Tamandua tetradactyla: one gene and its partners. The protein of the gene in region 3 interacts with the protein of the main gene of each other region in a biochemical or structural test. Links are inferred from orthologs where the notes say so. Each region holds a gene or a part of one and is shown on either strand. Other genes may lie near its edges. The genes, in order: TDG, ETS1, CREBBP and STAT1.

Region 1 (8,006 bases), on a different chromosome or scaffold from region 3:
ACCGCGTCCGCCCGCGTCCTCACCGCCCCGGCTCCCTCACCGCGTCCTCACCGCCCCGGCCCCTCACCGCGTCCGCCCGCGTCCTCACCGCCCCGGCTCCCTCACCGCGTCCTCACCGCCCGGCCCCTCACCTCGTCCTCACCGCCCGGCCCCTCACCGTGTCCTCACCACCCCGGCTCCCTCACCGCCCGGCCCCTCACCGCGTCCGCCCCCTCACCGCGTCCGCCCGCGTCCTCACCGCCCCGGGTCCCTCACCGCGTCCGCCCGCGTCCTCACCGCCCCGGGCCCCTCACCGCGTCCGCCCGCGTCCTCACCGCCCCGGGTCCCTCACCGCGTCCTCACCGCCCCGGCTCCCTCACCGCGTCCGCCCGCGTCCTCACCGCCCCGGGCCCCTCACCGCGTCCGCCCGCGTCCTCACCGCCCCGGGTCCCTCACCGCGTCCTCACCGCCCCGGCCCCTCACCCCGTCCTCACCGCCCCGGCTCCCTCACCGCGTCCTCACCGCCCGGCCCCTCACCGCGTCCGCCCGCGTCCTCACCGCCCCGGGCCCCTCACCCCGTCCTCACCGCCCCGGCTCCCTCACCGCGTCCTCACCGCCCGGCCCCTCACCGCGTCCGCCCGCGTCCTCACCGCCCCGGGCCCCTCACCAGGTCTGGCCGGTAGCATCTGTGCACCGCCTGGGCGCCAGCGCACATGGCCAACAGGCCGGCCGCGAACAGCTTCAGGTAGGCGGGCCAGGGCGTGCCCGCGGGCATGGCGGCGGCGGGCGGGGACGCCGGGCTCAGGCGGCGCGGTCCCCGCAGCGGCTCCCCCGCCCCCGTCGAGCCGCTAACGCGTTCCCGGAGCGGGGCACCCAGGAGGCCAAGGCCGCAACCGCGTACCCGCTCTCGGCCCCGAAGGCGTCCCTGGGGGAAGAGAACAGGACGCCGAGCCCCGCTGCCCGCGTCGCGCTCTCTCAGCCCCCACAACCCGCAGGCAGCCCCGCGTACCGCGGCGCTCACCAGGGCGCGGAGGACGGCGGAAGCGCGCGGACGGCGGCGGAAGGGCGCTCGGGTGCCGCGGCGGACGGCGCGCGGGCGGAACGAGAGCGCACGGGCTGGGAGCCCCGCCGGACCGGAAGCCGGGACGCCGCGCCGCGAGCACGTGGCCCGGGCGGAAGTGGGGGCAGCCCGAGCCAGGGTCCCGGGCTGTAGGCTCCCAGGCCCGCCCCGGCCTGGGGTCCCCGCCGACCCGCGCTCACACCTCAGCCCAGGTCACTGCGTCGTTTGTCCTTCAGCGCACACGAAAGAAGGCGCAGGCGCCTGGTCCTTCAAGATCGCGAAGCGGTCATCACCCGAAGAGTTTCTCGTCGCCCCGGCGGTGCCCGCCCACCACGCCCACCGCCCCGGCCTCTCGGCCCGCGGTCTGCTTTCTGGACTCTACCGGGTGTGACGCCGTCATCCGCTCATGATGCTGTAGAGCTGTTTGAAGATCCAGTCACGTCGTGTGTATCAGTCGTTCGCTCCTTTTATTGTGAATCCCTATTGTATTTCTATACAAAAATTGGTATATCTATTTGCCTGTTGCGAACATTTTCAGTTGTTTCCAGTTTGCGACTGTTATGAATGAAGCTGCTGTGAAAATTCATATACAAGTCTTGCGAACATATGCTACCGTTTTTATTGGGTAAATACCTAGGAATAGAATGGCTGCGGAATACGATAAGTGTTTATTTAACTTCTTAAGAAACTGCCAACTTCTTTCCCAGTGTAGTGTATGCGAGTTCCGTTTCTCCACATCTTCTCCAGCATTTAAGTCTTATCAGTCTTAAATATCCACCGTTCTGATAACTAGGTAATGGTGTTGCATTTTGGTTTCACTTTGAATTTCCCTCATAATTAATGATATTGAGCCGCGTGTCATGGAAGTTACATTTTCACTGGTGAAGTGTCTGTTCAGATTTTTCACCCATTTTAAAAGTTCTGTTGTTCTCTTATTGAATCTTATTGACTTTGAACTTTTTTTTAAATATATCTGGGTACAGGTACTTCTTATCAACTAGCTATTTGACCTCCAAATATTTTCTTCGAGTCTGTGGCTAGTCTTTTTCTTTTTTTTGTAAGGTGACTTGAAGAACATAATTTTTTATTTTGATGAAGCCCGATATTTGACACTGTTAGTGTCATATCTAAGAAATCCTTGCCTAGCCCAGAGTCACAAAGATTTTCTACTGTGTATTCTTTTGAGTTTGTTTATGGATGCAAGTCAATGGTTTTTTGCTTATGGATATCCGTTGTTCCAGCACCTTTGGATGAAAAGACTATTCCTTCCTCATTGAATTGTCTGGGCAGTTGTCCATCTATTTGTAAACTCCAGTATGAGTCCATATATACATGGACCCACTGATAGGACTGTCTTGATTATTATTGTCTTATAATAATTCTTATAATCAGGAAGTAAGCCCTCCAATTTTGTTCTTTTTAAGAGTTATTTGGGCTATTCTATTCTAGATCTTGCATTTCCATATAAATTTTAGAACCAGATTGTTAAAATTCTAAAATAAATAATAAGACTTCTGAATGCTAATGGGATTTTGAATATGATTGCACTGAATCCAGATCAATCCGGAGGAAATTAACATCTTAATAGTATGTAGTCTTTTGACTCTTGACCCCAATATATCTCTTCATTTATTGAGTTCTTAATTTCTCTCAGCAATGGTTTATAGTTTTCAGGATACAGGTCTTGCACATCTTCTGCCAGATTTATCCCTAGTATTTATATTTTTATATTTTTGTAAATTATGTTTTTTTTAGATTGTTGGTTCTTAGTGTGTAGGATTACAGTTAACTTTCCCATATTGATCTTTTGTCCTGCAACCTTGCAAAACTCACTTATTACTTCTAGTAGCTTTTTTAATTGGTTCTATAGAATTTCCTACATAAACCAACATGTGATCTGCAAATAAAGAATAGGTTTATAGAGTAGGTTTTTTGTAGATGATGTTTATTAGATGGAGGAAGTTCGCAGGGAAGTTTCCTTCTATTCCTAAGCTGTAGAAACTTTTTATCAGAAAAATGGATGTTGCTGTTAATGCTTAATCTGCATCTACTGCAATGATCATGGTTGGTTTGTTTTTTCATCTGTTAATGTGATGAAGTACAGCTGATTTTCAGATGGTAAAGCACTCTTCTATCGTTGATGTATATCCAAGATCTTTTTTACACATTGCTGGATTTGATTTGCTAAATTTTGTTCAGAATTTTTTTCATTTATGTTCATGGGAAATGTTGATGTGTAGTTTCTTGTACTGTCTTTGCTTTTGGTAATATGGGTTTGCCCCATAGAATGAGTTGGAAATTATTCCCTCTTCTTCAATATGGAAGAGTTTGGCAGAATTGGTATTCTTTCTTATTTAAGTGTCTGGTAGAATTTACCAATGAAGCCATCTGAGCCTTGAGTCTTCTTTGTGGGCAGGTTTTTATCTACAAGTTCAAAATTTGTAATAGATATAGGGATATTTGGATTCTTCATTGCTCCTTAAATGAGCTTTGGGAATTTGTATCTTTCAAGTATTTTGCCCACTTCATTTAAGCTATTCAATTTATAGAAATAAAATTGTACACAAATCCCTTATTACTTTTCTCCCTTATTATCCTTTTAATATCTGTAGAGACTGTAATTATTTCACCTCTTTGATCCTCACATTGTATCCTCTTTTCTTCACATTGTATCCTCATTTCTTCACATTGTATCCATCTCGCTCAAGCTATATCAATTTTATTGCTCTTTTCTGATGTCATTGATTTTCTCTGTGATTTTTCACTGAGTTTACACTCTGATGTTTATTTCCTTTTTCTGCTTACTTTGATTTTAATTTGCTTTGATTTATCTAGTTTCTTAAGGTGGAAAGATGAGGTGGTTGATTTGAGACATTTCTTCTTTTCTACTATAGGCAATTAGTGCTCTAAATGTCCCCTAAGTACTACTTTAGAGATACCCCACGATTTTTTATATATTTTCATTATCGTTCAGTTCAAAATACTTTCTAATTTCTCTTTTGATTTTCTTTGTGTCATAGATTAAGTTTGTTCGTTTTTTCAACTCTTTGGGGATTTTCTTAAGATCTTCCTATTGGACAGGGTGTTTTTAAAAAGTTCCATAAAGTTTAGAAGTGTCAAAGATTCAGTAATACTTTAAACAGTCAATATAATATAATCTTGCCGTAACTCTCCATGAAAGCCTTTTCCTGGATCCTAGAATAAAGACAGCACATGGAGCACAGAGCATTAGCCCTCTCCCAGCCAACATGTTACACGAGTGAGAAATGAACCTTTGTTGCTGTAAACCACTAGTATTCTGGAGTTATCTGTTACCACAGAATAAACTAGGGAAAGCTAATAAAGTAGTTGTATTTTTTTATCTCGCAAACTAGAGAAACAGAAAAATCTGTCTCCATTAAGATTTATTTGAGTCCTGTGCAAACATCAGTGATGGAAACTGACAACTAACAACGAAAAACAGCTACAAGAGCCATTGAGAAAGAAAACGGGCGAGTCTGGGAGGCTGTAAGGAGGAACAGATACTTGCGTGACGTGTACTATCACAGATTTCAGACTTCATCCAAATAAGAGAATTTCCATGCAGAGCTTTACCTTTCACAAAGCAGTTTCACAAGCACCCTCATTTTATGTTACGAAACAAGGCTCACGATGACACAGTGGTAAAGCCTTGCTTCCCAGGTTTTCCGAGTTCAAAGTCTCTTTCCTCTACATCCCGTCAATTACTGTTAGCTAATGCAAAACACAGTTTTATGATAAAAGTTTTAACCGTAATCGAGTCTTGGATGGAAAAGACTAGATACATTGGTTCTCAATGAGCTCAAATGCACCCCCCCCCCCCGCCGGCGTCCCAGAAGTCCCCATTCCCACGCCCCGCCCCGGAGGCGTCGGCGCCCGCAGAACAGCTGCGTCAGCACGATGCCCCGCCTACTTTCCTCCGCCACCTTCCCGAAAGGCTCAGCGGCGGAACTGACAATCGAGGAGGGGCGAACGTGATTGGGCTACCGAGCGTCACCTAACGCCCACAAGGCGTGCACTTGGCTCCGCGCAGAAGGAACCGCCGCGCGGACTTGGGGTGGGGGAGGGGAACCAGAAGCTTGGGGAGGAGCTTAAGCGCCAGCCACTGGGCCAGTTCTTGAAGCCGGCGGCCCCAGGGCTCCGGTTACCGTCGTCCGCCGCAGTACACGGGGCTAGGCAGAGGTCAGGCTCTCGTTAGCTTGATAGGAAACTGCTCACGCAAGCGACAGCGGGAATGGAGGCGGACAACGCGGGCAGGTAAAGCCGGGTGGAGCTCCCCCCTCCCCCAGCGCCCCTCGCGGAGGTGCGGCGCGCGCGTGCACGTATGCACACGCATGCGCACGCGGGGCGCTTTCAACGCTGCGGCCGGAACACAAAGGCCGCGGCCGCGCGTGCGCACTGGGGCCTTCGCGTTGGCCGTCAGTGCTCAGGGTCGGTGTCTGGCACCCCCGAGCCCCGCTTCCCCGCCTCCTGTCACATCTAGTTAGCTTTAAAATGCGTTCGTTGCCTACCGTCAGTCTCCGGGTAATCTTTCTTTCCGGTTGCGTTCAGGACAGCAGTTCTCACTCCGTTACCGCGTGGCGAGGTCCGCATAGAGAAGAGGCAGGTACCGGCTCCGGCTCCGAGCGCCTCCGGGGGTCTGTCTTTACGCGAGGAGGTGCTCTGTGGCTTTCCCCGGAAAGTGCAGTGGCGGCACTCGCGAGGGTCGCAGGACAGGTCGTCGTGCTGCGCCCGAGCCGCTGAATTCCGGGAACGTGTGGAACACTCCCGCGAGGGCGCCCCGAGGCCGAGTTTACCGGCGGTCTCGGGGACGAGCGCAGGAGTCTGTCTTTAAGTGTCCTTTGGGGAGTGTTAGATTTGGAGTGGAAATTTTGCAAAAGCAGAACTTTAGAGATTTAGAGTCCTGGCAGAAACCAAATGAGAAAATAAATAATTAGGCACGGTGATAGGGTGTTTAAAAAGAAAAATATTTGAAGATTTGCTTGGAGTAAAATACTACTAAACCGAATGAAAAAGTATTCTGAGGCTCAGAAGCTAAGAGACCCTGAATTTATGCAAGGCACTTAACTTCTCTGGGCCTCCTCGTGTCTGAATTAAGGCCGTCTCTGGAGTCCACTGCTGACATGCTGGGAATCGGTATGTCAAAGGGGGACGCTGACATAACAAAATTGTCTTAGAGTTTGGGAACAGATAAAATGTGGAACAGCCTGATTTTGTGGGTCAAACTCTGGAATAAAATATTCCACTTCTTTCCCCGAAGAACTTTACAAATAAGAGAATTCATCGGAATTCGTGGAATCTCTCTCATCTTTGTGATCTTACTTCAACGGAAAACTGAAAAATGGGTAACACCTATCAGCAAATAAATTACACATTATGAAACCTCATTCAGTGTCTTACAGTATAATATGGGACTCTGCTGTACTGTTTAGTTCAAAGCTGTGGCTTGAATATGCTGTCTTAGCCTCATCCCCGTAGGGCTGTAGAACATTTTTATTTTTTACTTGCAAACTTAACCTTTCAGAGATAATGGAGGGTGCTATGTGGATACTCTGAAATGGAGCTCTAAAATGGCACAAGCCCCAGGAAATTCTGAGAAAGTGGTTCCCTGTCACCCTCCAGTTTGTGCTCATCAACGAATGGAATGCTAAATAGAGTAAATTTACTCTTTAATTTACTCTTTATTTCTAAAGATTTCTTGCAGAAGATTTAAAGAAAAATATTCCATTGATATAGACTCTAAGAAGGGAAAATAGTTCAAGAGTCACAAGAAGCAGTTACACACTAACCCAGACAGGTGAAAAGGAGGAATTATATAAGGGGACCAATAAGGAACGTTTACAAAGATGGGAAATTGGATGCCAAATCAAGAGTGGCATGGACCTCTAAGCCTGTCGACAGGAAAGAGTAGCCCTCGGATGACGTCAGGTTCTCTAGAATTGTTAAAAGAGACCAGATAGGGCTTTCTTGGTTAGATTTGGACAAGAAAGATGAGAAGGGTTTGGATTTTCTGTCCAGGCCTGTGGCATGGCAATGACAGCAGAATCGTAAATATTCAGTTCTGATTTTGGTTTTTTGCCTCCCATCTTAAGAAAAATATTGTCAGCCTGCAAATAGCAGAATGAATGCCCATAAGAAAGCTTTTAGCTGCTCTAATGAAATCATATTTCTTGGCCCAGATGAATTGTACTTTAAGTGAGAGGCCAGATTATAGCAGTCTTTGAATATTTACACATCTTCGCAGTAGGTCAGGGGCCTAAAGCCTGAATGTAAACACATTAGTCCCTTTCCCCCCAAAATGTGGAATCTGTGTTCTAATTTATTGACATTGTTCTTGAACAAATTGCTTGAATTTTTACTTATTAGTAGTTCCTGAGCATTCTTAAAAGAAACTAGTGATCACTGTATTATAGTGTAAGTTCAGAAAAGAGACCTACCAGATTAGGTTCATTCCTTGTGGGATAATGATGCTGGGTGTAACCTGACTAGCTAGACAGCATCAGGGGATGCTGAGAAAAGGAACCTAAAAGGTTTGATCATCTCATGATATCTTTAATTTTTATTAGTTATTGCTATAGCAGGTTTACTATATACCTGGCACTGTTCTGATTGCCCTATGTGTGTTAACAATTTAATCCACAGACCAGTGAGGTTATTGTTGTTTTACAGGTGGGTAAGCTGGGGACCTAGAGAGGTTAAGGACTCGCCCCCACATAGATATAAACTCAGGCGGTCTGGGTCCAAAGGGTACCTCCCGAGCTAACAGCCGTGCTGTGCCTCTTTTCTTTGCGGGCAAGGTGGATAGCAACTGTTGGAAATCAGGTGAAATCTAAACTAGTTTACTGCTGAAAGAGTTGAGGGTAGGCTGCAGAGAGGTCCATCTGTTGTGCCATTTAGCTGTTTCCCTGAATTTGTGGTTTTTCAATAGTTTAACAGCTTCAGGGTGCTA
Region 2 (7,639 bases), on a different chromosome or scaffold from region 3:
CGCATGTGTGAGTCCTGCTGATCCATCTGTGGCTCAAGACCAAAGCTTAGCTTTTGATCACGGAGAAGAGATACATTCATTGCAAAGTACAGGATAAGAAGTTCCAGAGCTGGAGCGTCAATAGACAAAGGTTCTCTACCCTTCGCTTTCCTTTCATCTTATCTTTTGGGGCCTCTTGGAAATTTGGTGCTGACTATGCTTGTATCTGAATTTTACCACTCCCCCTCCCTGCCAGTTTTGATAATTTGTTTAGCTCCTGCTTCCCTGCATATATAGAGTCTTCTGAAACACTGGAAGTTGTTCTAAGTGAAATGGAAGGGAAGAGAGGAGATGCAAAATGCAATAAATGGCTGATATTTTTCTTTGTTTCTCATCAAATCGAATGCATTTTCATTTCAAATGTAACTGTTTCATGTGTTGAGAGTGGTTTAAAGAACCACTATACGTTTCCTAGAAGGGGATTTCTGCATTTTCATGGGAATTAAGGTGGGAGTGAGGAAGGCTGTTGGTAGGGTCGAAGGTCCTTGCAAAGCTAAGATTCTGGGAATTCAGCTTTTCCATTTTTCCTCTTCGTAGATACTAACTTGCAATGTAGCTTGTTAGACAGAAGAAAAGAACAAGGTGTCTTCAACATTAGAACAGCAAATAAGTTTTATTCAGGCCCTATTACAATTTCATCTACAAGATATTGAAATCGCCCTCTTGGGTTGGGTTCTGGAGATGCACCTTCACAAGCGACTCTTTTTGTATAACTCTTTTACATGGTGGCCAAAAGGTATACATGTCCCCCAAATCGCTCTCTTGAACATCTTAAAGTCTACAGTCATCTTAAATGAGGTCCTTTAGTAGAGCAGAACAAGGAAATGAATGATCAGTGTTGCCTTCCCACTTTAGCACAATCATCCAATTAATTATTCAGTTAACTCAATAACATTGTCAAGTTGGACTGGTATTATTACCCTTTTTGGGACTGATGTCCAAACTTAGGTTTTAGAACATAGGGAGCGGAGGAGGGAGGCAAAGCCAGGTTTTCTAGTCTCAGATCCTGTGTTCCTTTTTATGAATTCATGCCCTTTTCTTCAAGAGGATCATTTTACTTTTGCCCTATGTAATCCATGTGGATCAGAAAGCATAACCTCTGTGGGTGGTCTACTTCCCTCTAATGCTACATTTTTGAAGATACTTTTTAAAGCAAAACTTCCTGTTTTCTCTGGACATCTCTAGGTGATTTAAGCATGGTGACTTATATGAACCATTCAGGTTCCTACTTGTCATGCACTGACTGATAAGTAGATTGGTAAACAATGGTATATACATTTGATCAAATATTGTGCTGCTACAAAAAGGAACGAAGTTGTGAGGCATGCAACATTATGAATGAATCTGTGGGGCATTTGATGAAGCAAAATAAGCCAGAAACAAAAGAGCAATTACTGTACGTCTCATTTAGAAAATGCTTATAAGAAAACTGGTGCCTACATTGTAAGCTCTTATAGCAGTCTTATTTAGTCTAGAACGGTAATTATTATTTCTGGATTTTTAGAAGCTCTTTTATATACATATAACCTGCTATGCAGAGATAAGAACAAAGGTGATCAGGTCGAGATTAAGGTAATTCAGAACATAGGGGTAAGGAAGACATTGTCTAGATTTTAGAACTTCATCTACTCTTTAAGGCCAAATAAAGAAAAGTTATTTTGTCCAGAACTTAAATTTTCTGTAGCACACAATCTAACTCAACCTGTCTAGATAGCTTGTTTAAACAGTTAAAACACAGGGAGTTCAGAATAAGAATGAGCCTTTAATTCTGTATACCTTAATGTAATGCCTGGATACATCCCAGAATACATGAAGGAGAGAATAAAAAAATATTGGCAAGGTTCTTTGAGGGATGGGAGCAAAAATATGGAACTATTAAACTTTACCACTGGGGAAAAGCCTGATCCTAGACGAAGCAGCCAAACATTAAGGACACCCAAATCAGTAGGCCAAGCCCTTGAGCTTGAGGTTTGTTCTTGTGAAGCTTATGTATGTAGCAGAAAAGCTTAGCGTACCTATAGGTGTACCTAAGCGTCACCTCTGGAGGACCTCTTTTGTTGCTCAGATGTGGCCTCATTCTCTTTAAGCCCAACTGTGCAAGTGAAATCATTGCCCTCCCCACTATGTGGGACTTGATGTCCAAGGGTGAAAGTCTCCCTGGTGGCATGGGAGATGACTCCCAGGGATGAGTCTGGCCCTGGCACCATGGGATCAATTATGTCATCCTGATCAAAAAGGAGAAGAGGAGTGTAGAAAATCAGTTACTAGTGGCTGAGAGAGTTCAAATAGCAATTGAGAGGCTACTCTGGAGGTCACTCTTACACAAACTTCAGTTAGACGTTGCTACCTATCATAACTTGCCAAACTCCAATGGAAAGCACTCCAACCAGTCCTAAAGAACACCTAGGGTAATATATAAGATTCTACAAAGGTTCCATGCACTAGGGTAACTTTCCAGAAATCTACAGCCTCCAGATGGGTTCCTGGATCAGATAAGTCCTGAAACCTAGAGGGCCCAGCCTCTCCAGAACATCAGCTAGTTCCATCTCCTTAGCCCATATTATTGACAACCCCTTCCAACACAAAAAAGTTAGAATGGGCATGGCCCAATTATCCCTAAAGAATGGAAGAAAGTGGAGTTATACAGAGAAGGTAAAGTTTAACAGATGTATATGATTGCTGAATCATTATATTGATATTTCTATTAGTCTCCAGTATCTTAGAGCAGCTAGAAGTAAAAACCTAAAATTGTGGAATTGTAACCCATAGCAAACTCTGTAATCTGTTCTACAATTAATTGTTGTGCTGTGTGTGGAAATTTATTGCTTTTTTGTATATATGTTGTTTTCATAAAAAAAGAAAAAAGTGATTATATATATATATATATATTCCTTCTAACCTCCAATGTTCTGGAGCAGCTAGAAGGAAAAATCTGAGAGGATGGTATGGTAGCCCATGACAAACTCTGGGATCTGTCCTGCAACTACTTGTTGAAGAGTGCTCTGAAAATTAGTGCTTTTCTCTTTCTTTGCTTTGTATATATGCTATATTATACAATAAAAAAGTGAGAAAAAAAAAGATTCCTCCTGTCTTTTACACAAGATAGGTAGTGGCGGAGGATGGAACTGGCATATTTCAAAGGGTTACTCCCTATATAAACTCTAGGCAACCCCAGACTCCATAGTCCCTCAATTATCACTCTGTACCTGCTTTAGGCCAACAGTCCAACTCTTTCTGCATTGCTTTTTGCTTTCCTCTTCTGAAAAGACAGAGAATACAATTGTAACAGTTGTGATTGCTTTAATTGACCATAGGCTCTTTGAATGGGGGCTACAGGTTGGAACCTACCAGGCTAGGGGAGGTTGGCTGAAGTTTCAGTACCTCTCTTCATAGACTTCTCCCACAGCATACATCGCGTTTTAAGGAGATGGCTCATTTATTTGTCTGTCTTCCCACTACAAAATGAATTTTGTTATACTTCTAGTTCCCAGCACAGTGCCTGACCCAGACATTTATTAAATTGAACAAGCAGCACCATCTCTTCCTTTCTTCCAAGCCACGGCAACATGCAAAGCCAAAAGATGAGCAGTAAAACCTTGTTTGAATCCCATCAACATCTGAACTGTGTTACCAGCTTTATGTAACAAAAAGTACTGCTGGATGATGGTTTAGTAGATTTTCACTAGCTTTCAAAGTTGTGCTTTTGTGTCTCCATTGAAAAGGAAAAAAAGGTGGCCACCATGACAAATGTTTGCTCCCATCTATTACTCACAGAAAATAAAATCTTTTAGGATAAAATTCCTAGACGAAGCAGCCAACTGTTGACTTTCCAAAGAAATCTGTCATGAAATAACCGTATCAATAGAAATGAGATTACACTCTTGAATAGTAAATGAAAGACGGTGTATATCCTCACCTAGAACAGATGCAAGATTTTTGTATTGTTTATATTTTCTCTAGACTAGAACTATATGACTATCTCTGCCTTTTTATTCCTGCACGATGGACCACGAATCAGTCAGTAAGAGTAATCTACTCTAGAGAGCACCCCAAGCCAGATTTACAGGAAAAGCGTATTTGAGCTTTACTCTTCAGAAATTCCCACTCGGTGCTTAGTCAGCTCTCTTCCATACAATTGCTTTTTCCTTAGGAAATATCGAATTTCACATCAGGTTGAGAGAAACAAGCAAGAGGCTGGAGAGGTGACTGAGTGTAGGCATCCTGCGTGCCCGCCACTTAACAGAGAAAAGGAACAGGTCTTTCTGACCTGGTTTTATAGCCCTCCTATCCCCCGGCTAGATTCAGCAGGGACTCCATTGAGAAAATCAAGAAATTTGAAAAGCTTGAATACGGACACATTCAGTAGAGAGTAAATCGAATGCATTAGCCAATGATAACAGCCTTTTCCTCCTGAGCTGGTTGCCTTCTCGGCATCTCCCTCTTTTTCTTCCCACCCCCGGGTGAGGTATATTTAATTGCAGCAGAATTTGAGGGCTAGGAAATAAGGTGTATTTGATGTTAACCACAGCCAGAAATGCCGCTTGATTCTTCCCTCTAGACCACAGCGCCTGTCCCTGTGCGCGCGGTGCCAGGAACTAACGAAGACTGCATTTTTCCAGCTTTCCCTGGTTTGACCACACCCCCCAATTTAAGGAGGCAGCTCTATTAGAAACATTATGGTCTTCGCCTCCTCTTTAGCTCCGGAGTAGAGGGTTCCCGCAGGTAGTTGGAAAGAGACCACGGACCGTGAGGGAAGCTCACTCAGGATCTACTCTTCACTCTGTCTCTCCAGCAAAGTAGTAAGTGAGGTGTGAGTTTCTGCCTAAAACTTTTGAGCCCATTCTCCTTTTTCATTTTCCCCCCCACTCTGTGGAATTAAAGGGTACGTTGACGAGGACTTTCAGGATAAAACCTGGTTTTCTTTTCGCATTGTGCTTTATTTACCATTCAATTGTTTATTTCATGACTATTTTCAGAAAATAGTTCCTAACCTTGTCCGAATAACCTGAAATCAAGACCATGTTTCACTGTCTTCCTGTCTTTATAAAAGCCAAATCCTTCACGGTTTAGTTACTTGCAGCTTACTTGTCAGAAACTCAGGATTCTTTCTTAGTGCATCAGAGCAGTTCCAAAGAAATGAAGCCACAGTTAAAAGATTGAAATTTCTTTCTCTTTTTCTCTTTCATTCCTAGCAAGCCTATTGTTTCTCTCTCTCTCTCTCTCTCTCTCTCTCTCTCTCTCTTTTTGCATAGTGAAGCTTAATGAATTGCTTTCATGGAGAGGACAATTAATAAATGTTGGAATCTTGCAAGTCAAACTCACCTTTTTGGTGTTTTCCCCATTCTGATTCTGACAGTTCTCCAAGGGTTTGATAATCCTTTGGACTGTAGTTGGAGGGAGGGTGTGTCTCAGACTCAGGGGGGCATTTCTGTCTGCGACTGGAAAGCCGGACTTCAGTAGCTGCTTAGGAGAAACAGGATCTGCGGATGGCGACTCTTCGCCACTCAGTTTTTCATCCACTCTGCAAGTCGCTTCTCAACTACTGTAAAAATTCCTCTGCGACCTCCTCTTAAAGTAGCATTTAGGTGGGTAAACTGCTCAAAAAAGATGCTGGGTCACTGAGCTCAAAGCATTTGATTGTAAATTTTCCTTATTACTTTGTGGACAAAGTTTTTCTTTCTTTTTTTTTAATTCTCAAGGTCATTTTTTCTTTTTCATTCTGCCTCTGTGCAACTGGAAAAAAAGATGTTTGTTAAACAACAGGAAATACAGATTCTACAGTGATAATCTGGCAGCTCCATTTGATTTGTAAAATTACTGATGCTTCAGCTCTTTCATCAGCTGTGGTTCCGGACTGCATCGCCTCTTCTTTATCTAAACAGAAAACCCTTTCGTTCCTGCAGGCATGTGTGATGCACTGGGAGCTGCTGGGTCGCTACTGGTACTGTTCTTACAGAGGAGGGAAGGGACAGCTAATGCATTAATGACTGCAAAGAACTTTGAAGATGAAAAGGTCTTCTCATGCGTTCAGTGGGTAGTGGTTAATATTAATATTTGAAGAAACTGGCTGCTTCTACATGTAAATCAGCAACTTCCATCTTCACCAACTCTGTAGGGAAATAACACAGCGAGGGCAGCTGGGCAGCCTCATCCCTGCTGGTTCCACTGTTGAGGAAGTGGGAGGCTGAGTTGGAACCTACTGAGAGGTTACTTTGACATTTACACGCTCCTTGCGCTAAGGTGCAAGATGGTGGAGAGGCAGAGAGTTCAAAGAGTAAAGCCTGGGAGAGGGGGGTTAGGGGCTGGAGTCCTTCAATGTCTGGCCATCTGTGGCCTTGGACAGTCGCACCGGACCCACTACCAGCAGGAGACCACGATGGGGTTCAAAGGCGAGTGTGGCCAGAGCCGGAACCAGTGCTGGGTTTGGAGTCTGGAGTGGTAGATGGGCATTTGGGGCTCTGTTACAGATTAGCTTTTTTTTTTTTTTGGCATGGACCAGCACTGGGAATCGAACCCGGGTCTCCACCGTGGCAGGCAAGAACTCTGCCACTGAGCCACCATGGCCTGCCCCAGATTAGCTGTTTAACTGAGAATGAGCTATTGAACCTGGCTGTGCCTCATTTTCTTCATCTCTAAAATGTGAACAACCACATGTGCCCCGCCTGTTTCACAAAGATGAGAGAATAGAAAGAAATAGCATAGAGCTTTACAAAACAAAAGCGTCAGTAAGGAAGTGGGGCGGAAGAAGTAATATTATAACAAACAGGGTGCATGGGTGCAGGCCCTAGGGGAGGGCAGGAGATACTATGGAAACAAATCATTGGCCCTTAGGTTTCTCTTTATTGCACTTAGAGGTTCAATGCCTTGGCGAATTCCTTACTGATAATTCAGGTTCTATTGTACCTCATAATATTCTTTATTGTTGAACAGATCTGTTTCCCACAGCAACTATCCTTTTCTAATTACCCATTTGAATCCCCAATTATTCATATCAAACCACAGAAGGGATGGTTATTTCCTAGAGCTGGGGTGTCTGTGGCCTCCCTCCCTCCCTCCCTCCTTGCTTCCCTCTTTCCCTACTACCCTCCCTCCCTCCCTTCCCCCTTTCTCGCTCTCTCCTTCTCTCTTATCCTCTCTTCCTCTCTGCCTCTGTCTCTTTCTTTCATGGAAATTCAAAACTATTTAGTATTTGAGAAAAACAAATATGGCCTGCAGCAATTTAGTGGTATGTCTCTGAGGGCATTTGACGCAAATCTTGTAGGTTTCTTCCATCCTGGGGAAACCGAGATATTCAACACTAGCTCTTTTTTCTTTTTTTCTTTTTTTGCCTCCTTACTCCTTATAGCCTTGTTGCTGCTCAGCTTTCTAATCTAGCTGATTCTCTGCATATGGCTTTCTCACTTCACTGCGGAAGGATATAATCCTTGATGTTTACTGAGCACCAGGTGCCTTCCAGGTTCTTTGCTAGGTGCTTTGCAGGGACGACTTCCTTAATCCTCGCTGACATCTTTGAGGAGTGCGCTGTTGGCGTCCCTGTTGAGAAGGGTAGTGTTAGGGCCGATTGAATAAGTGGTGGGACCGTGGTTACGCCCAAGGAGTG
Region 3 (7,613 bases):
ACTTTTCCAATCAGACTCCTGACCTGTTTCCATTCCTTCTGCTGAGAGGGCCTGCCTCCCTCTCTCTTCCATTCTCTGACTCTCTTCTTTCTTTCTAAATTGACTTAAAAGAAAAATTTATTGATCTATAATTCATATACCATCCGATCCCCCCCATTTAAAGCGTGCAATTTAATGGCTTTTAGTATATTCACAGAATTCTTCAACCATCACCACATTCAATTTTAGAGCATTTCCATCATCCCCCAAAGAAACTCTGCCCCATGCTCCCCATCACCTCCTAATGCTTCTACCCCCCACCCGCCACCCAGCCTCAAGCAAACACTGACTGGCTTTCTGTTTCGACAGATTTGCCTACCTGGAAGTTCAAATAATGGAATCATGTACTATGTGGCCTTTTATATCCTGCTTCTTTCACTGAGCACTATGTTTTCAAAGTTCATCCATGCAGCAGCACGTATCAGAACTCCGTTCCTTTTCATGGCTGAATACTATCCCATTGTCTGGATGGAACACATTTTGTTTATCCATTCATCCACTGGTGGACCCAAATGGCCTCTCTCCACCAAATAGCCTCTCCTTCAGGAAACCTTTCCTGACTTATTCCTACCTGTTGCTCCTCTCTCGGCCCCTCCACACCCATTCTCTCAGCTCTTGAGCCTTCTGTAGATGGAAATTCCTTGGTCGTTTACTGTTGTCCCTGCAGCTGGAGGTGGCAAGGTGAGTGGAAAGAGCAGGCAGCCTTGGGTTTGCAACTCAGGTAAGCCACTTGGTAGCTGGGCGACTTCTTCTCCTCTGGGCCTCATTTCTACATCTGTAAAATGAGGACAATACTTTTCCTTCCAGGACTGGAAAAAGCTCATCCGCATGGAGCTGCTGGCAGACCGGCCCAGCATACAGAAGGTTCTCAACAACCCTGGGCCCTCTCACCGTTTTTTGTTTTTTGTTTTTCTTAAATATTTTTATTGTAAACAACAAACATACAAACATTCTTGACATGGTTACACTCAATGGCTCACAATATTATCACATAGTTGTGTTTCCATCACCATGATCATTTTTTAGAACGTCTGCGTCACTCCAGCAAAAGAAAAAAGAAAAAATTCAGGCATGCCATACCCCTTAGCCCTCCCTTTCATTGACCACTAGTATTTCAGTCTACTCAATTTATTTTAACCTTTGTTTCCCCAATTATTTGTTTATTTCTTATCCATATTTTTTACTCATCTGTTCATAGTAGATAAAAGGAGCATCAGACACAAGGTTTTTACAATCATGCAGTCACACTGTAAAAGCTATATCATTATACAGTCAGCTTCAAGAATCAAGGCTACTGGAACACGGTTGTACGGTTTCAGGTACTTCCCTTTAGCCACTCTAATACACCATAAACTAAAAAGGGGATATCTATATAATGTGTAAGAATAACCTCCAAGATAGCCTCTCAACTCTATGTGAAATCTCTCAGCTACTGACACTTTATTTTGTCTCATTTCGCTCTTCCCCCTTTTGGGTGGAGAAGATTTTCTCAATTCCTTGATGCTGAGTCCCAGCTTATTCTAGGATTTCTGTCCCACATTGCCAGGGAGGTTTACACCCCTGGGCCTCTCCCCTGTCTTGACCGTGACCCCAAGCTAAAGGAGGTGCAGGCTGGAACTGTACTTATAGTTTCAACTGTTCTCCCCTTAATGCCCATGCACTGTCCTTTGACGAAGTATAGGATGAGGGGAGAAGGAATAAAAACGGGAGAAAAAGCAGATAGCAGGAAATACCAGAGAAACTATTCAAACGGATACAAATGAGAAGGAATGGGAAGTAAAAAGGGATTGCAGAACAAGCATGGGGCAGGGGGAGCAGGGGGCTTGGAGTGGGGCCCTGTGTCACAGGCCCACTGGACCTGTCCAGTCACTGTCCTCTGTAAGGCACGGAGCCTGGGTTCCCTCAGTTTCCGCCTCAGTAAAATGGGGTATATCTTGACCACTGTGTAGACGGGCATACCCCAGGGATCCCGAGGGCTGGGTTGTGGCCTCCTATGCCCCAAGGCAGGTCCTTAGGTGGTCTGACACCTTGTCTTCTTGGGGGGGGAGAGGGGCAGAGCTGCTGCTTGCTGGGCCCCAACATTTTCAGTCGGCCTGGAAGCTGGTAGGACTCAGGGGAACCTGACATGTTCATTCACTCATTCATTCATTCATCCATCCAGTTTTACCCTGGTCTGTGACTGAGACACAGCTCCTGCCCTGAAGGGCTGCAGGGGTGAGACTGACATGCAGACAGGGCGTTCAGATCCAGGGGGTCCTGCACCCCACGGGGTTACTCTGTGATTCGATCTGCTTCCTGCCTTTCCTGGGCAAAGTGACCTCAGGACCACTTCTGTTTATGGTTTTCAGGTCTTGCTATTTGGCCTCTATCAGTACACAGGGGTTTCTTCCTTTATTCTTTGCCCTGGGTGACTACCTGAATACTAATGCCTTCAGTCGATTTTTAAGAAATATTTAATGACTCAATAATAACACAAATCCGTGAAAAGGACAAAAGACAGAAAGACAAAACATGAGAGCGAGCTATGTGTCCTTTCACATATGCCCGAAAGTGCTGTGGGAGACCTCAAGAGGGTTAGAAGGGCTTCCTGAAGTAGGTGAGGTTTGATTAGGGTTTGCCAGGCACGTGTTCCCGGCACAGGGAATTTGCGAAAGACTAAAAGGGCCCCCACGTTGAGGCCTTCCTGGTGTCTTGATGGCCAAGTGGGGAACAGAGAGCGGGAGCGACGGCACAGGCTGTGAACAAAACAGATTAAAAAAAGTAGAAAGATCACTTAGTCCAACACTCCAAGAAAGCCCTTTGGGTGTGTACTTTAATCAGATTTTTTTTTTTTTTTTCAAGAAGTTAACTCTGGTGCTTCGTGGGGGGGGACGTGGAGCGCGAGAAACACTGAGTGGAAAGCTGTCCCCGCGGCCGGCAGCGGGACTGGGGGAGGGGGCCGCGGCGGGGGGAGGGGTCGGGGCGGCCTCCCCAGGTGGAGGACGTGGGGAGCCTGATGGCGCCGTGGCCGGAGAGGGAGGGAGGGGCCGCGCTGACTCACAGGTTTCTGGGTTAGGAAACCAGGTAGCTGATGACACTTTAAAGATAAGGATTTCAGGTTGCAGCGCCGGCAAGTAACCAGCCGGGATGCGCCCTATTCGGGGCTTTGTGGCGCGGGCCCCGGAGACCTCCGGGACCCCGACCTGGCCTGGAGCACCTGCGGGGGCAAGCGGGCGCCGGGCCCCGCCTGGTGCAGGTGGGGGTGTCGGCGCGTGAGACCTGGGAGCAGAGGACCCCACTGCCCGTGGCCCTTCCAGCCTCCCCGGGATAAGTTCCCCTGCCTCAGTTTCCTCATGTGCACGCGAGGCTGTTCGGAGCCAGCGAACGCCACTACACCTCGCGGACGTCCGGCGAGGGGGCGAGACCAGGCCCCGGCTCGGGTGGTCCCGGCCCTCCCGGCCCGACATGCCCGAGGGGGAGGGGCGCGGGGAGAGGCACGGGCGCCCCAAGAGGGGTAGGCGCGGGCCGGGCCCGGCGCAGACTCCGCCGCTCGAGGCCGCAGCCAGGGACGAGGCCACCGCCCCCAGCCCCGCCAAGCCCGCGCGCCCGGGCCCTCGACACCAAGTCGCCGCCAGAACAAAAGTGGTTGCGCGGCCCTGGGTCCGCAGGCCCGGCCCTAGCCCCGCCGCCCGGCGGCACCACGTACAGCGCCCGCGCCTTCGGCCCTTTCCGCCCGGGAGCTCTCGGCTCTTTCCGCCGCGGCCGGCGCAGGTGGAGGGGGCGGGGCGGGGGCCGTGCGTGGTGACGCCGCGGAGGGGTGACGCACCGGCGTGCCCCGCCCCCTCCCCCTCCCCGTTCAGGCTCTGGAAAGAGAAGAAAAAAAACTTTCTTTTTTTTTTAATTGAGGAATCAACAGCCGCCATCTTGTCGCGGACCCGACCGGGGCTTCGAGCGCGATCTACTCGGCCCCGCCGGTCCCGGGCCCCACAACCGCCCGCGCACCCCGCTCCGCCCGGCCGGCCCGCTCCGCCCGGCCCTCGGCGCCCGCTCCGGCGGCCTCGCTCGCCTCTCGGCTCGGTCTCCCGGAGCCGCGGCGGCGGCGGCGGCGGCGGCGGCGGCGGCAGCGGCGGCGGCGGCGGCGGCGGCGGAACGGGGGGTGGGGGGGCCGCGGCGGCGGCGGCCGCGGCTCCGCTTGGCGCATTGTTTTTCCTCACGGCGGCGGCGGGCCGCGGGCGGGGAGCGGACCCCGGAGCCCCCTCCTCGTCGGGCCGCGAGCGAATTAATTAAGTGGGGCGCGGGGGGGGGGGGGGCGAAGGCGGCGGCGGCACCACCATGTTCCCGGGGACTGCCTGAGCCGCCCGGGCCGGGCGCCGTCGCTGCCAGCCGGGCCCGGGGAGGCGGCCGGGCCGCCGGGGCGCCCCCGCCGCGGAGTGTCGCGCTCGGGAGGCGGGCAGGGGATGAGGGGGCCGCGGCCGGCGGCGGCGGCGGCGGCCGGGGGCGGGCGGTGAGCGCTGCGGGGCGCTGTTGCTGTGGCTGAGATTTGGCCGCCGCCTCCCCCACCCGGCCCTGCGCCCTCCCTCTCTCCGCGCTCGCGGCTCGCGCTCGCTCCTCTCCCCTCGCAGCCGGCCGGGGCCGGCGCCGACCCCCGCCCCGGAGCCCTCTCTCGGGGCTGTTTTCGGGAGCAGGTGAAAATGGCCGAGAACTTGCTGGACGGACCGCCCAACCCCAAACGAGCCAAACTCAGCTCGCCCGGATTCTCGGCGAATGACAGCACAGGTGAGGAGGGGGCCGCGCACTCCGGGGGCCCTGGGGAGGAGCTGTCACCCCCCCCCCCCCCGCTGCCACCCTGCGGCTCGGGGGTCTAAGCGGGAGGGCCGGCGGCCGCGCAGGGAACTCCGTAGTGGGCGTGAGCGCCAGAGGCCGCCCCGGCTCAGCCCTGGCCCGCGCGGCCCTCCCCCTCGGCCCGAGGTGGAAGTTGGAGGGAGACTGTCACTCGGCTCGAGCGGGGCGGCACATGCCTGCGGGCGCTGAGGCTTCCCGGACCCGGTCAGTCCCCTCCGCGAGCGGGACCTGGAGGAAGGAAAAGTAAAGTGGAGGGTGTTTACTTTGTGTGCCAGAATTCCACGCGTCCCTCCGCGGCCGTGTGTCTCCCCCACGCGCGGCTGTCTGGAGGAATGACAGTGGAGGGTACGCTGTATGGTCGGGGCAGGGAAAGATCGCAGCCGGAAGGGACTGACTTGCTGGGTTTTCTGAATAGGTAACGCTGCGCTTTGAACACACCAGCTCGTGAGTTATGACTTAAAAGTTGTAATGTGTTCTTTGGGGAAAAAAAAATGCAAAGTCGTCATTCCGCTTTTTCAAAGCCTCCAACTTGGTTAGCAAGATACCCTGAAAGTTGCTGTGGCGTATTGAATTTTCCATGTGTAATTTTAAAAGAAAGTTGTGTAGCAGCTTTGTTTGAGCCGCAGTCATTTGAGCTTGTGTTGCTTTTAGGATGTAGCTGTTGCAAAGAATTATGTTAAGGAGTGTAGGAATGATCATTTTCAAACAGTTTTAGCACAGCACTGAATCAGTTACTTTTTTTTAATCTCATGCAGCAACTTCCATGAAAACTTTCTTAGGTAATTGTATCAGTTGCCTAAGAAGAGTATTTTAGTTTTCTGATCGTTTAATAAGTCCAGGTTCTCCTGGTAACATTATGGACTAGGTGTATTTTCTTTTTAGAGCTCTCTTATGCAGTAAAAACTCTGGTACCTCTGGGAATGAGTTCATTCTTCATTGCAACTTGCATTTCTCCAGTGCTGTCTGCTGTAGCAGCATCTGAAATCAGTTTAAAATGAATGGATCCAAATTGAATTACAGTGCTGCTGCAGTGTCTTCAGATTTGCAGTAGACACAGCTGTGCAACTTGTAGACATATTTCTGTGACTGACCATTTTCAGATACAAAAATCTGTTTCTTCTGTTGAAACAGCACGACTTTTGTGGGTTCAGTTTTCATACACTCTCTAGAATCCAGTTAGGAAAAGTGGCATGTAATATTAGTTAATGTAGACGTGAGGGAAAATATTTTTAAAAAATCAGTCATAAGTGAGTTTTTGTCTAGTTAAAATTTTGTTAAACACTGGGGGGGTAGAAAATGAATCTCATAGTATATATAAGTTACCAATAATACTCTATTTTTAAACTGATAAGGAGCTTAGTTTGACTTTAATTTTGTAAGTTTCTCTCAAATGAGGAATCACTTATTTGAAGTGAGAAATGTGCAAACAGCCATAATTTAAGTGCCCCAACACTGCAGAGTAGACCCCCTTCTTTCCTTCATTGGATCCTGTCATGTTTGAGTGAGAAATTTTTAATCAATCATACTAAGAACCATCAGCGTGCAGCTTATCTTCTGAAACTGTGTAACTTTTGAATGGCTGTGATACCTTTCTTTTGTTGAATGAAGTTACTGTAGGTTTTGTTTTACAAAGGCGGACAATTTAGTAACATGACATTTAACAAAAAGAGTTAGTTGTTCCTACTGTCTCCCTCTAGCTGTTTCTAAGACAGAACCCCAAGGATGGCTTTTTGGGGTAATTCTGTTACTGGACGGCCAGATACTTAATGTGCTGTTAGGTACAACAGAGTTTATCAGAAAGGATTTTCCACTCTTAACCACATTTTCTTCCTACCATCTTTTGATGGTAAGGAAAAAATGGGTCCCGTTATGTTTCCAGTTGTGGAATAAGAGAGTCAGTTTCTAATGGCGCTGATTTAAATTATTCTAAGAATAAAATTCATGATCATACTTAAGTGCGGGTCCTTGGCTAGGCATTCATCCTCATCACACCAGTACAAAAGGGTCTGTTGGTGTGGGGGCCAAGGAAGAATCATTAGCAAGCAAATTTAACACTGTCCAACCTTGTCACCTAAGCATGGAGGAATGAGATGAACAGAGATTGGATATTAAGTAAAGAAATGACTGAAGTATTACACTAAATACATTGAGAAGAGTGAAGAATTTATTTGTTGGGTGGGAAACTGGGGAGAGACCTGGGAAATACATTCTTGAGAGACTCAACCTTGTTTTCCTGAGGGGATGTCTCCTTGAGGCTTCCAGGAGAAAATTGGGCCAGGTGGAGCAAGGTATGTGTTTGAGGGAGGGGACTTATCATGGGAAGAGGTGAGGAGCTGGGAGGAAGCAGGGCAGCCAGGTGAGGGCAGGACTGCCATGATGCATGCCTGTCTAGGGTTCTGGCCCGGGGAGCATCAGTGTTTGTCTGAAGTATCTGGGGTGAGGGTTGCAGGGGCCATTGAGAAAATGGTACCCCTGACCTTGGAAGCTTCCTAGCCTGGGTACTGCTCAAAGGGGGCTTGCCAGCGAGCCCAAGAATGTGGGTGCCAGCCTGAAACACTCCAGGGATGCCAGGCAGCAGCTCAGCGTGGGATCAGTGCCATGGCCTCCGTGGCCGAGTGGGAGCTGCTGGAGACTGAGGAGGGCTGCAAAGGCTTCTGAGGAGAGCCTGCCCCAAAGTGGGATAGCCAGAGGAAGAAGAGATAGCGCGCTCACCCCACTAAAACTTGAACTCTGAAATAGCAACAGGATTCAAT
Region 4 (7,684 bases), on a different chromosome or scaffold from region 3:
CAATTGCCCATTATCTTACCCTGTTTCTACCTCCTGCTGGACTCTGTTATCAAGGACATATTCCAAATTTATTCTCGAATGCCCATTCATATCATTGGGACCATACAGTATTTGTCCTTTAGTTTTTGGCTAGACTCACTCAGCATAATGTTCTCTAGGTCCATCCATGTTATTACATGCTTCATAAGTTTATCCTGTCTTAAAGCTGCATAGTATTCCATCGTATGTATATACCACAGTTTGTTTAGCCACTCTTCTGTTGATGGAGATTTCGGCTGTTTCCATCTCTTTGCAATTGTAAATAACGCTGCTATAAACATTGGTGTGCAAATGTCCGTTTGTGTCTTTGCCCTTAAGTCCTTTGAGTAGATTCCCAGCAATGGTATTGCTGGGTCGTATGGCAATTCTATATTCAGCTTTTTGAGGAACCGCCAAACTGCCTTCCACAGTGGTTGCACCATTTGACATTCCCACCAACAGTGGATAAGTGTGCCTCTTTCTCCGCATCCTCTCCAGCACTTGTCATTTTCTGTTTTGTTGATAATGGCCATTCTGGTGGGTGTGAGATGATATCTCATTGTGGTTTTGATTTGCATTTCTCTAATGGCCAGGGACATTGAGCATCTCTTCATGTGCCTTTTGGCCATTTGTATTTCCTCTTCTGATAGGTGTCTGTTCAAGTCTTTTTCCCATTTTGTAATTGGGTTGGCTGTCTTTTTGTTGTTGAGATGAACAATCTCTTTATAAATTCTGGATACTAGACCTTTATCTGATATATCATTTCCAAATATTGTCTCCCATTGTGTAGGCTGTCTTTCTACTTTCTTGATGAAGTTCTTTGATGCACAGAAGTGTTTAATTTTGAGGAGCTCCCATTTATTTATTTCCTTCTTCAGTGTTCTTGCTTTAGGTTTAAGGTCCATAAAACCGCCTCCAGTTGTAAGATCCATAAGATATCTCCCAACATTTTCCTCTAACTGTTTTATGGTCTTAGACCTAATGTTTAGATCTTTGATCCATTTTGAGTTAACTTTTGTATAGGGTGTGAGAGATGGGTCTTCTTTCATTCTTTTGCATATGGATATCCAGTTCTCTAGGCACCATTTATTGAAGAGACTGCTCTGTCCCAGGTGAGTTGGCTTGACTGCCTTATCAAAGATCAAATGTCCATAGATGAGAGGGTCTATATCTGAGCACTCTATTCGATTCCATTGGTCAATATATCTATCTTTATGCCAATACCATGCTGTTTTGACCACTGGGGCTTCATAATATGCCTTAAAGTCAGGCAGCGCGAGACCTCCAGCTTCGTTTTTTTTCCTCAAGATGCTTTTAGCAATTCGGGGCACCCTGCCCTTCCAGATAAATTTGCTTATTGGTTTTTCTATTTCTGAAAAATAAGTTGTTGGGATTTTGATTGGTATTGCATTGAATCTGTAAATCAATTTAGGTAGGATTGACATCTTAACTATATTTAGTCTTCCAATCCATGAACACGGTATGCCCTTCCATCTATTTAGGTCTTCTGTGATTTCTTTTAGCAGTTTTTTGTAGTTTTCTTTATATAGGTTTTTTGTCTCTTTAGTTAAATTTATTCCTAGGTATTTTATTCTTTTAGTTGCAATTGTAAATGGGATTCGTTTCTTGATTTCCCCCTCAGCTTGTTCATTACTAGTGTATAGCTGTAGTTTTCTTTTTTTGTAATATCTTTGCCTGGTTTTGGTATGAGGGTGATGTTGGCTTCATAGAATGAATTAGGCAGTTTTCCCTCCACTTCGATTTTTTTGAAGAGTTTGAGGAGAATTGGTACTAATTCTGTTTGATTTTTAAGCAGCCAATATGATAGTCACATTTATAAAATACATGTAGTTTTCCGGTCCAGGATCTTACAATGTTGGCTAGATAAGATTCGGATGCTTCAAAAACCATAACATAAGAGAGTGTGTGTTTTCTGGGAAGGTGTTTGTCAAAATAAGTAAAGACACTAATTTATTATATTATTTCAGAGACTAGACCAGTCACCACAGGTTCAGGTGGTTCTGGAAGGAATATAGGATTTGGGCTGAGTCTTGAAAGTTGGATAAGAATATAAGTGAACAGGATAAGACGTAGGACTTGTCATTTGGAAAAATAGTAATGTGCAAAAGGGCAGAAATGAGTAGACTAAAAACTCGAGAGAAGGGCAGGGGATAGGTAAATTAAGTTGATTAATGGGACAATGGGACACAGGTGGGAAAGAATGGTAGAGAATCCAGACCAATAGACAAAGTGTTGTGATTATCATAAACGCAGTAGAGCATTATTAAGGGTTTTTATATCAAATAACTTTATCAACGTCGTGTTTTGGGAAATTTAATTTGGCTAATAAATAGGTGAGGAGAAAGAGGCAGGAAGAAGGTAGTCTGCCTAGAGTCTATCATAGTATTCCAATTCTAAAGTTATAAAGCCCTCCAATTCTATCAGGGCTTATAATGGGATATGGTCAATGACAGTAAAACAAAGAAAGATAAAGGCATAGAGTAGGAAGCACCCGTAGAACTTGATGACAGGATGGAAAGAGCCAAAAAGAGATGCCCTATTTGCAGATATTAGGATTGTTCAATTCCCACACCAACCCTGAAGCGATTCTCTGTGCAGATTTTATAGTACCAGAAGATTTTTTTAACTTGTTATCAACCCATCCCAGGGTTGGCTTTTCTCAGAGAACAATACAACATTGCATCGGCCCTTCATACAGGTGAGCAGAAGGTGAAGGGGCTTTCCAGTTGTTTGCAGCCCTTTTAGTGGTCTGGCATCTTTTTGTATACATGGCTGGTTCACCTTTACTTTGGTACCAGGGACATTCCTATCAGTACTGGCTTTGTGAGGGTGCAGGTGTGACAAGAAGATGGAGTACAGTGGGACCTTGTTTTACATTAACTCACACATCCTAATTTAGGTATATGTCAGTGGTGATCTAAATAATGAAGGCAGAGTGAATTAAAAATTTTTTAAATTACTTCTATGATTAATTTTGTTTTCTTAATGTTACTAGAGTGTTTGCTTTATTTATTTAAAAATGTGCGGTAGCTACGTTCATATAAGAAATTAAATAATGGGGTTTGCTATTATGCGCAAGCGCGATTTCCAATTTACTCAAAGGGTCTTGAAATGGTATTGGTCACGTAAAACGAGGTCCTACTGTATTATAGATGTGGAACTAGTTAAATACGATAATCCACATTGATATGCATATTCCTGGTGAATGATTTAAATCTCGTAGGAGAAGACAAACTCTCTTACCCAAAATTGCCTTATTATTCAAGGCTTGATTCAAATCTTTAGCATGTGAAGGAAGAAACCAATTGGTTTTATGGACACATTATCCAGGAAAACCTACTTTAACTGAGATTTTAAGCTGAGAAGTAAAATATGAGTTAGCCAGCGAAGAAGTTGGGGGAGGGAAGGAGTTGGCCCAAGGGACTTCCCAAAGACGGAGACCTGCTGGTGAGAAGGCCCTGCAGTCCCTTTCTGATGGGAAAGGTCCTTTTATGGCGCACAGGGGGAGGAAGAGCATGACATGTGAAGAGCAAAAAGGTTGAAGTAAGCAAAGGGAAGAACAGCACAAGATGGAGTCAGAGAAAGTGATAGAGAAATCAGGGCTTTGTATACTAAGGAAATTTTGATCTATTAGAATGGCAAAGAAAAGCCATCATAGTATTTTCAGGTCACAATGACATGACTTGCTTTGCAATTGAAAAAAAAAAATCTTTCAAACTATTGTATGGAGAGTGGATTAAAAGGGGCTAAGAACAAAAGTGAGGCAGCCATTGGAAATCTACCACAGAAATCCAAATGAGAGATAAGTGAATGGGGTTTGAGAATTACTTAGGAGGAGTACCAAGGCTTGAGGATCAGGTATAGGGGTGAAGAAGAAGAAAAAGTCAAAGATGAATCAGATTTCTGGTATGTGCTATTTCTGGGGGAAAAAACAGGTTTGAGGAGAAAGATGGTGAGTTGGGTTCTAAAAATAATGAGCTTGCAGAGCCTGTGAAACATCCTGGTGGATTGTACATGGTGTGCAGCTAGCTCAGAGAAGTGTGGACAGGATGCATAGGGGACCCCACGTCTAGAAAGCCATTGGAGCTATGGTGAGGCCACCACGGGGCAGTTTGAGGAGACACGTAGGTAAAGAAGTAGATCAAGGTACGCGCCTGACACCATTTAACGGTTTGGCAGTGGTGGTGGAGGCAGCATGAAATAGCAAAAGAATGACACAGAAGTAGGAAGAAGCAAGGCGGGTATATCATCATTGTCAAGGAAGAAGGGTTTCAAGTCAACTGTGCCTGTGTCTGAGAGGCCAAGTGTGAGGCAAGGAAAGCGTACCCTGGGTTTGGAAACATGGAGGTCAGTTGGATTGAGGACGTCCCCAACTCTGTCCTCTGCCTCAGGTTCTGAGTATGGGGCCAATGCAGGGATTTCCAAGTTTGGGTCTTTGCAAACCCAGAACTTCCTTTCAGCTGTTCTCTAAAATTTGTAAAGAGAACCTCCAGTCAGTTAAATTGCAACACAGACTTGTCATTCAGATCATGAAAGCGCAGAACCCGCTTGGAGGGTTAGAAAGGACGCGCTGGCAGGCGGGGAGGCGGCGGCGTCCACGGAACAGCCGCGTCCGATTGGCCGCAGCCGCCGGGTGACTGGAGGAGACGGAAGGGGGCCGGGCGCCTCGCGCTGCCTTTTCTCCCGGTTGGTACTTTCGCTTTCCTGCGCAGCCTGCACAGTAGCACTGCCACGTCCGGGTACCGCGCCTGCTAGACCCCCGGCCTAGAAGAGGTGACCCGACGCGTCCGGGAGAGGCAGCATCCGCGCTTCTCCTCCGCTGCGGCCTCGAACGTCCCCTTCCAACCCCTGTCCGGCTCCAGCGCAGAGTGAGTGGGTGTGAGGTCCCGGGACGGGGGCTGTAGAGGCTGTGCAGCTGGACGTTTTCTTCATTTTCACAGAAGGATTTTCTTTGCCTTGTGTCATCCTCGGGAGCTGGCTAGTTTAGAGGCTCGCGCTGTGCATGCACACCCAACGGTCTTGGCATCCAATGTGCTGAGTGTGGCTGCTGCTTTGGTTGGGCTCCCCAGCCCCTAGCACCGTGGCTGGCACAAGGTGGCCGTTCAATAAATATTCGTGGAAACGAATGAATGAGTACATGAGTTTGGAACCTCAATTATGTATATATGTTTAAAGATAAAGGAACTTAAATATCTTCTGGAATTTAAGAGCGGTATTTAGTTCCTGAAGCACCCAAATAACACAGTTTCTCTTTTAAGAGAATTCCGACCAGTTCGGAAGCGTTTTGAAGGTATGTGTGGGGTAGCTGTGTGGTTGATTGCGCTTTGAATGTTATATGCATAGGTTGGGGAGGGAGTTGGTTTTATGAGATAGAAATAAGCCTTAAGCCTCCAGCACAATCCCGCATGTAACTATCCCTTAAGGAGGATGCTGCTCCAAACTTTTTTTTTTTTTTTTTTTAACATGGGCAGGCACCAAGAATCGAACCGGGGTCCTCTGGCATCATAGGCAAGCATTCCTGCCTGCTGAGCCACCATGGCCCGCCCTGCTCCAAACTTGTTGAACCACAGTATGGTTTGCTTTCTAATTCATTCTGAAATTTAAAAAAAAAAAAAGTATTTTGGTTTTCAATTCAGCACACTATTATTGAGCACATACTATGTGCAGGGCACTGACCTAGGTTCAGGGGATGAAAAGAAGATAAGATTTGGATCCTGCAGCTCTGGGACGTCCGCCAGGTAACGGAGACATCATAGAGTTTTACAGGGAAGACTGGGAGGGATTGCTCTAATATAGGGGCGCAGAATGCAACGCCGCACAAGTTGATCAAAGTTTGTTTCTGAGTAAGTGCGTTTTAGACAGTTTTATGGAAGATACAAGATTTCTGGTAGGATTCGGAGAGGCAGAAATTTGTGGAGAGGCTGTTTTCACTACGAATAATAGAGCAAAGCAGATATGTGGGACACAGCTGAAAACATAATGTGGTGACTGGGGATGAGGGTTGCTTTGCTGTTGGATAAAAATGGGGGTGGAGTGGGAATCAGCCTGGGAATGTACAAACCATAGTATCTTTGAGCAGAGGATGATGTCATCCAACAGGTGTGCAGCAAGAGGCTGGACTGGGAAGAGAGAGTATTGGAGACATGGAGGTAGCAGATCTTGAGACTGGTAAAGGAGTCAGTGTTGGATTTGGGGTTCGAGCCAGGTGACTTGGGGATAGTGATACAGCTTCCTCAGGAGTAACAGGATTTGCCATTCTGGATGTGCTAACATTTATTTATTGATCATCTACCCTGTGATGGGGCTTGTGTATGTACTAGATCGGCCAGTGTTAATAACCACCACGTTGATAGGGGAGTGAATCACCTGAGGTTATTAGGTTAAGCAGTGTGGTAGCCTTGGCTTGGCTGACACTTAGTCCAATGTGTTGGCTTTAGGTACATCCTTATTAGACATCTAGCAGGGAGGGAGAGAGCTGCAAATGTGGAGTCTTCTGCTCAGGTAAAATAAATCTGAAGTGAGAAATCAGATTGCTACAACAAGTGTCCCCAGGGGTGGGCCTGAGTGCATTTCTAGTATTATGGGGATAGTAACTGGCATTACAGTTATGCCTGCTTGCATGCACGCACACTCCCATGCCCTATGAAAATCCAGACGTCTACCTCAGAGGTCCGGCAGGACAAAATTCACTTTTGTCTGCTCTGAATGTTGCCAGCCATGCACTGATAGAAATCCTTGGTTATAGCCATGGTGATGGGAAACCCTTCATTATCTCACCCATCTTAGGACTTCCCTAAATCAGGTTTTTGTTTTGTTTTTTAATCTTTAGAGCTGCTGTGTAAAACTTGTCGTTTCAAATTATATTTGTTTCGCTTTAAACTTTAAAATCATTACTGAGATTTAATGCTTTTTTGTATACCAGATTTATTGTTTGCAGAAGACAAAGAGAAAAAAGTATGTCTTTAAAAATGTATAATCCAGAGCAGTGCAACGGTGACTCAGTAGCAGAATTCTTGCCTGCTGTGCCGGAGACCCAGGTTCAATTCCCAGAGCCTGCCCATGCCAAAAATAAAAAAAAAATAATAAAAAATTTAAAAAATGTGTATAAACAAAAATAGTTAATTTTATCATAGGAATCATATAATGTAAAATACCACTTTAAAATCCTTTGAGTTTAGCTACAAATGTACTGTATTTGTAGGGGAGTTAATTTTATCATAGGAATCATATAATGTAAAATACCACTTTAAAATCCTTTGAGTTTAGCTACAAATGTACTGTATTTGTAGGGGAGCAGTTTTTGGAATGGTCTTGCAATTTGTACCAAAGCAAACCTTCAAATTGAAGAATGCTTTATATTACTTTATTTGATAAAAGTAAAGATTTGTTTTAAAGGCATATTAATTGAGCATCTCCTCCATCTGACACTGTTATGGGGATACAGTAGTGAACAAACCCCCTCCCTCTCAGCCCTTCCCCTTATACGTGAGGACAGACAATAATCAAAATGAAAAAGAAAATATATGGTAGGTCAGATGGTACTAAGTGCTATGGAGAAAAATAACTCAGGGAAGAGAGATAGTGTTTTCCAGGATGGGAGGTGGTTATAATTTAAATAAGGGGGCCAGAGAAGGCTTTCCTAATA

Evidence for each region.
Region 1: the proteins of CREBBP (region 3) and TDG form a complex in vitro, tested with the Homo sapiens proteins (2 studies listed by BioGRID, with this or other methods). The link is inferred for Tamandua tetradactyla from reciprocal best matches to the Homo sapiens genes CREBBP and TDG.
Region 2: the proteins of CREBBP (region 3) and ETS1 form a complex in vitro, tested with the Homo sapiens proteins (3 studies listed by BioGRID, with this or other methods). The link is inferred for Tamandua tetradactyla from reciprocal best matches to the Homo sapiens genes CREBBP and ETS1.
Region 4: the proteins of CREBBP (region 3) and STAT1 form a complex in vitro, tested with the Homo sapiens proteins (5 studies listed by BioGRID, with this or other methods). The link is inferred for Tamandua tetradactyla from reciprocal best matches to the Homo sapiens genes CREBBP and STAT1.

The regions. Positions count from the first base shown.
Region 1 is NC_135333.1:174,111,075-174,119,080, forward strand, and holds the start of TDG (G/T mismatch-specific thymine DNA glycosylase), read left to right. Parts: upstream 1-5,002; 5' UTR 5,003-5,291; coding exon 5,292-5,314; intron 5,315-5,418; exon of another isoform or gene 5,419-5,488; intron 5,489-6,253; exon of another isoform or gene 6,254-6,713; intron 6,714-8,006. Other genes in the region: UQCC6 (ubiquinol-cytochrome c reductase complex assembly factor 6), read right to left, coding at 647-754. UniProt on the Homo sapiens protein: DNA glycosylase that plays a key role in active DNA demethylation: specifically recognizes and binds 5-formylcytosine (5fC) and 5-carboxylcytosine (5caC) in the context of CpG sites and mediates their excision through base-excision repair (BER) to install an unmethylated cytosine.
Region 2 is NC_135334.1:8,005,370-8,013,008, forward strand, and holds the start of ETS1 (protein C-ets-1), read left to right. Parts: upstream 1-4,635; 5' UTR 4,636-4,838; exon of another isoform or gene 4,839-4,847; intron 4,848-7,161; exon of another isoform or gene 7,162-7,572; intron 7,573-7,639. UniProt on the Homo sapiens protein: Transcription factor. Directly controls the expression of cytokine and chemokine genes in a wide variety of different cellular contexts. May control the differentiation, survival and proliferation of lymphoid cells.
Region 3 is NC_135349.1:53,354,510-53,362,122, forward strand, and holds the start of CREBBP (CREB-binding protein), read left to right. Parts: upstream 1-4,611; 5' UTR 4,612-4,709; coding exon 4,710-4,794; intron 4,795-7,613. UniProt on the Homo sapiens protein: Acetylates histones, giving a specific tag for transcriptional activation. Mediates acetylation of histone H3 at 'Lys-18' and 'Lys-27' (H3K18ac and H3K27ac, respectively).
Region 4 is NC_135329.1:164,781,552-164,789,235, reverse strand, and holds the start of STAT1 (signal transducer and activator of transcription 1-alpha/beta), read left to right. Parts: upstream 1-4,676; 5' UTR 4,677-4,907; intron 4,908-4,964; exon of another isoform or gene 4,965-5,329; intron 5,330-7,684. UniProt on the Homo sapiens protein: Signal transducer and transcription activator that mediates cellular responses to interferons (IFNs), cytokine KITLG/SCF and other cytokines and other growth factors.